Regions from separate parts of the Mus musculus genome. Here region 1 is reported to be linked to region 2. The links are microRNA targets in miRTarBase. Many come from high-throughput screens and were not tested one by one. Region 2 holds a microRNA gene; the other region holds the end of a gene's coding sequence.

Region 1 (3,000 bases), not on the chromosome of region 2:
GGCAATGTAAACATGTAGACAACATAAGGACTTCCAAAGCTCAGAGCACAGCCCAGGGGTGGGGTTTGCTTGGATTCTCAGCTGACCCACTGGGTCTTCTGGAAGACTCAGGAGCGAGGACACTCATGACCATGTCTGGCCGGTGGGAAATGACAGCCCCAGCCTGCTCCCACGCCTGTAACTGTGAGAATGTTTCTACATTAACTGGGAGAAACTCACTTCCCTCCCAACACTTCCAATTCCCCACTTCTTTCTTCTCTTGCAGAAGTCACAGTAAAGAAGTTCTCGTCTGTGGAAGCCACCCTCATCTCTGGCCCAGATGACTCCAGTAGCCCCTGCCCCAGAACAACAGCCTTCTTCTCTTCTTCTCCCTCCATTGAATAGCTCGGATTTTTTTTTTTAAGGTTTTTTTGTTTGTTTCAATCTTTCTTGTTTTGTTCTTGTTTTTAGACAAGGTCTCTCTATGTAGCCTTGGCTGGCTGTCCTGAACCCTCACCAAGCCAACCAGGCTGGCCTCGAAGTCCCAGAGATCCACCTGTCCCTCTGCCTCGGAGTGACAAACGGCACTGGACACCATGCCTAGAGGTCTTTTTTTTTTTTGGTTTTTGGAGACAGGATTTCTCTGTATAGTCCCGGCTGTCCTGGAACTCACTCTGTAGACCAGGCTGGCCTCGAACTCAGAAATCCGCCTGCCTCTGCCTCCCAGGTGCTGGGATTAAAGGCGTGCGCCACCACCGCTGGACTCGAACTAAACTTTTAAGATGAGAAAAAAGCGAGACTTAGCGCCACACTCATTTGATGCCCACAGTCGGGAGGCAGAGGCAGTGGATCTCTGACATTTCCATGCCAGCCTGATCTACAAATAGGGAGTTTCAGGTCAGTCGGGGTTACTTGGCGGGGCTTTGTTGAGAGAACTAAATATAAGAACACACATGCGTAGAGTCCCAGGGTTGAGAAGAACCAGTGTATGCGCCAGAGAGGCGGGTTCATAACCTGTGGCTCACAACCCCCTTTAAGTCCATCGGAAATACCAGACATTAGGATTCACAACAGTAGTAAAGGCAGTTACGAAGTAGCAAAGAAAATAATTTTACAACTTGAACTGCGTTAATGTTAAGAAGGTTGAGAACCACTGGCCAGGGGATTAGGACGAAAGGTCTTCATAGCATCTTAAGATTCTAGAGACCTCAGGGACAGCCCACAGCAGTAGTCTAGAGACGGAAAGGTCCATGTGTCTCCCTCGCGGACTAAAGCCTACCTCTCCAGCTCTCCATTCCTACCACAGCTTTTCTTTTGCCTGGTCCACCTTTACCATCTCCGGGCCTGGTGGGTCTCGGCCCTTTACGAATGTCCCCGTGTGGTTCGTCCTCTCCTGTTCGCCGGTCCTCGTGAGCTAATAAAGTCTTTCCGAGTTTCCATGCGGGCCTCTCATTCTCCCGTTTCCAAGCACAGCCAACCTCGGTCACCTCCCGGTCCTCGTCTCGCACCCGGGAGACGACATAGCCACCGTGGGAACCGCGCGCGCTCGGGCGCACGGTGAGAGCCGGACGCCCGGAGCGACGGACCCGAGTGGAACCGGAAGCGCCGCACTAGCCGGCTTCCGCCCCCTCCCCGCGAGTGGGCGGGCATAAGGGCGGCACAGAAAACCCGGCGCGGATTCGCTCCGTTGCACTCGTGCCGGGGCGGCAGTGTCATTCTCGAGCTGCAGTAACGGGGTCGCGCCACTGCTAGGGCACTTTCCTCGGCAGTTGCAGCGCCGCTCTGGTTAGAAAAAGTGACTTAAAATTCCGTGTTTGCCTTCCTGTGGAGGCTTGAGACAGGACCCTGGTCTCCAGCGTGTCTGCTGCGAGACGCGGGCTTCAGAGCCACCGAGTGGGGCTGCAAGGGACAGCGGAGTAGTGCACCTGCAGCCTGCGTCCCAGCCCCTGGCGTCCAGCACTCCCCTAGTCGCTCTCCCTGGCTCCTGTCCTCACTTCCTTCCCTTTTTGGCTCCTGCTGTCGGGCGGACGCGGGGAGGGGGGAAGCGGAAAGGGCGGGAGGGCCCGGGAGCCCGGCGGGGTGCAGGAGGGGGGCATCGCGGAAAAGCCGGGGAGGGGACTCGGTAGAGGGCCAGAGACCGACAAGAACAGAGGCCCGGGACCCGCGCGCAGCCCTCGCCCTTCCCGAGCAGGTCAGAGCCGGAGCACCGGGTGACCCTGCCCATTCCGCACTAGTTAGCCCCCAAGTCCCAAGCAAGCACCGAGGGCTTGGGTTTCCCCACTCCCGTATCTCCCTCCCCCAGCCTTCCTCAGGGACTCCCACCTAGGTCCCTTCTTGTCCGTCTCCCCCACGCCCGTCTGACTCCACCCAATCCCACCCGTCTCTCCCCAGGCGCCCCCATGGCCCGACCCCGCTGATTGCTTCTCTCGGCCATGCTCCCGCGGCCCCTGCGGCTGCTTTTGGACACGACCCCCCCCGGGGGAGTCGTGCTGAGCAGCTTCCGGAGCCGGGACCCCGAAGAGGGTGGGGACCCAGGTGGCCGGGCCGTGGGCGGGGGGCAGGAGGAAGAGGATGAGGAAGAAGAAGAGGTGAGACGCGGGTGGCGGGAGGCAGGGCATTAAATATTTCTGAGACTCTCCTCCTTTCGGTGTCTCTGGGTCCCTCGGTCTCTTCCTCCCCGCCTCACTCGCATCCCGCCCGCCACACTCTCTCTGGATATCTGTCCCCTGGCTGCGGGTCCTGGTGTCTATGAAGTTCGCCCTGTCTGTCTGCTCGGAACCTGCCCGTAGGAACCTGCCGGAACCAGAATGGCTGGCTGGCAGACGGGCTGACTGTGCCTGCGGGGCTCAGGCCCTCTTTGCCCATACCTGCTTAGACGGGTGCCACTGGGCAGTTGTATCTTGGTCCCTGTCTCCCTCCTCGTTTTTTGTTTGGCTGGGAGGGGTTTGTTTCCACAGTAACCAGCTCCTCAGACTCTAGGATTGGGGAGGGAACCCTCAGATTTCGCCGCCTCTTCCCCCA
Region 2 (4,481 bases):
AGGTCTAAAAAGCTTCTGCTGTGACAGGATGGGGGTAGTGGCTTCTGGAATCTAGTGAATACAAGCCATGGGAATTCACTTCCTTTCGTGCTCAAGAGGCCCCCAGAATCTCAGTCCAGCCTCATGAGACCAGTGGCCAGGCCAAGGGTACACATGACTAGAGCTAAGGACCCCAGGGGATCCTTGCTCAGAGAGCAGCTGCCCCTTATCCAATTATGTTTTCTCCCAGAGTCTCTCCTGACACATGTGGTGATTTTTGCAGTTCTTGATGCCAACCATTCTCTCCCACTAGTAACACAGCCAGGAGAGTCTTACCTCTTTGTCAAGACAATGGCTACAGACAAGGAAGAGGGTGGGAAGATGAGTGGCAGGTAACACTAAGAAGGAGGCTCAGTGCAGAGGAGTGTTGGAAAAGCAGAAACAGCAGGCCTGAGGACAGCGGCCTATGGCTGGTGAGTGAGTAGCTTGTTGGGGCTTCCCAAAGGAAGAGAACTGAAGTTTATAGAATTCATATCTGAGGGTTTTACTCTAGCTTCTGCTCACGAGACGGCTGATACACAGCCTCCCATTTGGGCTTCACAGCCTTCACTCCCTGTTTAGTGCTTAACCTGCACTATTGGTTTGAATCTTCTTCAATGTCTCTCTATCCATCCATCCACCCACCTACCCGCGCATCTATCCACACACTCATCTGTTCCCCCTCCTACCCCCCATCCCTCCCTCCCTCCCTCCCGCCCTCCCTCTATTCAGAGTTTACTGTACTCTAAATGAAAGGTGCTCCAGCCCTCTTGCAGTTGAGTTAAATCTAATTAATGGGAAGAGACACTAAGAAGCAAGATCAAGCCAGGTGTGTGCTAGAAGCAAGCTGGTGAAGTGGGATGAGTGATGGGCACACCAGGCAGAGCTGGGTAGAGCGCAGAGCACAGATGAGAACAACACCAAACAATCTTTCTTCGTGAATTTATTAGGCAGATACTGTGTCACACTTGGGAGAGGCTGGGTGTGAGTAACTCAAAACTGGGTGCCTGACACCCTCCCCCCCCAGCTCAGTCTTACAGGGGTGGTTCACCAAAATGCCTTCTAGACTGGACACAGCAGTTTATGCCAGAAATGCTGGAGTCTAAGGCATAAGGATTCCAAGTTTTAAGGCCAGTATGGATAATTCAGTGAGATCTTGTCTCAAAAATAAATAAATAAATAAATAAAAAAGGGGGGCTGCCATGAAGACCGGTGTGGATCTGACTGATGTCCATCCCACTCCTGTAGGAAAGAAAAGATAAGTGAAAGGAAAGCAAACAACCACATCAAGGAAGGTCTGGTGCTAGGAAGCAAGTTTCCCAGCCAAGGATACAGAAGAGTAGGGAGATACTACACAAGGTGGTACAAGCCCAGGGAAGCAGGGCACTATTAGCCTAGAGCAGACAGGGTGGGGTCAGGTCTCTGGTACCCCATGAGCACTAACTGGGGGGCAGGACTAGTCTAGCAGAGGCTGCCACTGGGATCAAGCCAAAGACAGCAAGCATTCTCTAGAGCCCCAAGGGACTACTTACCATGCGACGCTCTGCGGACACCTTCAGGAGAGCCTCCACCCAACCCTCTGAAGCGAGCACAACAGGATTGAGGGGGGGCCCTCCAGAAAGGCCCTCTTGTCACCTTCCACATAGGCTGTTCTGTGTGCACACAGATGGAGATCCCCTCTTAGGGGCCCTGCCTCTGTCTCCCCAACCCCAAGACCCTAGGAGGGTCTCTTTCTGTAGTCTCGAATGCCCACTAACCTGGATCTTGGCCCGCTCACCCGCTTCCCAGCTACGTGCGCTCAGAAGCCACTGCATCGACAATGGGAAGGTGGCAGTCTTAGTAGTAGGCTCAGGGCATTATGACAAGACCTCAAAGTTCTCCATGGCTTTTAGAAACATCTATCTCTGACTCCACCAGCTACCTTGATGGGTGGGGGAACTTAGAGGATGAGTTCCGTGTGTCAACCAGCAACATTCTCCTGGAGATCGGAAGGAAGCTGTTGGCCCACTCCTAAGCTGAGAGAAGGCTAGTTCCTCCCAGTCATAAAACTCAAGGGAAGAACAGCCCTCCTCTGCCAAAGGCCTGGGCCTCTTATGCCTCTTGGTGTCTCTTTCAAGCACGGCAGGAACGTCCCAGCCTACCTCAAATAGCTGTGGTGCTCAGGAAGCAGTCAATTGGGCAGGAGCTAGTTAGTGGGGGTCCAGAGACACTCATCTCATGGCCAGATCTGTCTATGACCACTCCATCCAATGGACTCACTCACTTGCATGTAGTAGCACAAAGAGGGCCATGGTGTGGCAAGTATCCTGTACAGTAAACCCTCTTGTTCTATCAAGGTGCCATTATGAACCAATCAAACCATTTCTAAGCAGCCCTGTAGATTCCCACGCTCCAAGAAGGATCCACCTTGCTGGGCCTCTGCTCCAGCAAGACCCACCTCCCAACTCAAATGCCCCACCCCATGGGTGCTGACTGGGTCTCTGTGAGGTGAAAAATCAATCCATACCTGAGGAGGAAGAACCCCCAAGTTCTCCTACTTAGCAAACCTTTTCCTCAGGACTGAATGTTGTGCTCACAGCAGAAGCAGCTGAAGAAGTGCAGGCTCCAATCCTTGAGGCTCCCCATCACACAAGGCTTCAAAGGCAGGACTGTGCTGAGAGCTCAGAGGTGCTTAGAACAGAGAGATGGGGTAGGGAATGTTAAGACATAAACAAAACAGACACACAGCCGCTAAGGTCATAGTTTTAAGCTCTTCAACTTAATGGTTCTGTCCTAGTAGCCAAACAGCCATCAGAAGACATATTTATGGGCAATCTTTTGGCTACTGTCTGACCATGTGAGACACAAGAGCCATGTTTTTGAAAACACAGGTCCTTTTCTAATGAATGCAGGTCGTTAACGAAATAGGCTTGGAAGTCATCTTCTAAGGCCTTTGTCCATGACCCTAGACAAATCATCTTCCCAGAGTTCACTTGTACGGGGCCCTCAGCCAGGGCAAGCACTGAGGACAAGAAATCAAGTCTAGAGACTTCAGAAAAGGCTTCCTTTCTCTTTTCTGAAACTCTTTGGTTGAGCAGAGAAGAGAGACGGAGCAGAGCCATCATGCTCCCACGGGTGCAGTAGAGCAACAGTGGGAGGCAGAAGCAAACAGAAGAACAGTGAGGCCCATCACAGAAAGACACATCTGATGGACACCCACCCACCCTTGATCCCAACCATCAACATGGACAACCAACCCAGGCACCCATAGGTAACAAGGCTGGGACAGCTGGGGATGGTGTCAGGCCCAAGAGCTGCTCAGCACAGAAGGGTCACAGGAATCCTGCGCTAAGTGGCTCTCAGAAAAGGGGTGCATCACCACCAAGCTGTGAGGGGCTGAGGTACTTTGTACTCCCTCTGAAGTCCTCCCCCCAGAGGAAGAGCACAGTTTTAGTGTGAGCCCTTTGCGGAGTCCTCTCCCCTCTGTGCAGTTGTTCCCAATACATCTGACTTGGCGGCTAGAGATGTGGCTCCAAGTGTTGGCCATATAAGCCCCTTTCCCATCACTCAGAAAACAGAGAAATGCCAGGAGGTACACGTAGCTCTCCAGGCTGCCAAGAAGGTGAGCTGGTGACTTTAGAGGTGCTGCGAGAGAAGCTACTGTAAGCGGGCCCCATCATCTTCAAGGACACTCTAGAGTTGTTCCTTCAAAACTGTGTAGCACTCAGTCCAGCTCTCAGCTGCAAGGAGAGAGGATGCTCTGTATCTTCACTTGGGGTGGATGTCTGTCTTATCTGTCCAGCAGACTACAAAGACCCATCCCTAGCTACAGGCTGAGTTGCAAAAGAGCTGAAGATCCCACAAGTACGAGGGAGGGTGCCTCTTGCTTACACTGTCAGAGGCCCCAGAGAAAGCCTCTCTGACTTGACCGTTTCGGTGAACATTGCCCCAAATCCTCATTCGAGGGTAGCTCAGACCTCCATCAGCCCCAGTCACCCCTCAGCTTCTGCTCACATGAAGAACCACTTGACTCCTGAGTGTACCAGAGCCCCTGCAAGGGCAGCTAGGAGCCACGAGCCACTCCTCCAAGTAGACACCTCACATGTGGCCCTCAGTGCTTGTTAAGTGTGCTCCTATGTGCCTTCCTATAGCTCCCAGCCAGCTCATCCCAAACCTATGCCCTCAGCCCCAGCGGCTATCTCCCTCACAGCTCTGCTGCACCGAGGTCTCTGATGGCCTAAACTCAGCTCAGCCTAAGTATCATCTTGGACCCCCTTCAAAAGGCTTTTCAGTGCCCGCCAGGGTTGGAAAATAGGCTCTGGACACCAGCTACCCCCTCAGTCAGAAGCGGGCTTGACTCCTACTCCTCAGCGAGGTGGCCCTCGGCAAGTTGGGAGCTCGGCTGCAGCTAGGCTTCTCTCTAGTTGCCATGAAGTTGAAGTGAATTAAATGAACACGTAGTCCCCCAAGGCCTAGGCCTCTGC

What was found. Region 2 holds the annotated microRNA mmu-miR-298-5p (GGCAGAGGAGGGCUGUUCUUCCC, at 2,072-2,094, opposite strand). A microRNA usually pairs through its seed, bases 2 to 8, with sites in the 3' UTR of a target mRNA and lowers its output. Matches are read on the target gene's strand: a 7mer-m8 pairs with bases 2 to 8, a 7mer-A1 pairs with bases 2 to 7 and ends in A, and an 8mer does both.
Region 1: the mRNA of Tapbp is a reported target of mmu-miR-298-5p. Seed matches in the 3' UTR shown: 7mer-m8 at 541-547 and 7mer-m8 at 693-699.

Annotation. Positions count from the first base shown.
Region 1 is chr17:33,927,875-33,930,874 of GRCm38, forward strand. It overlaps Tapbp (TAP binding protein), which reads left to right. Exons shown (of 8, transcript NM_009318.2): 8 at 266-1,416. The coding sequence ends at 277. It overlaps Rgl2 (ral guanine nucleotide dissociation stimulator-like 2), which reads left to right and starts at 2,020. Exons shown (of 18, transcript NM_009059.2): 1 at 2,020-2,170; 2 at 2,371-2,567. The coding sequence starts at 2,412.
Region 2 is chr2:174,265,482-174,269,962 of GRCm38, forward strand. Mir298 (microRNA 298) reads right to left here and starts at 2,104; the gene lies at 2,023-2,104. It overlaps Mir296 (microRNA 296), which reads right to left and starts at 1,644; the gene lies at 1,566-1,644.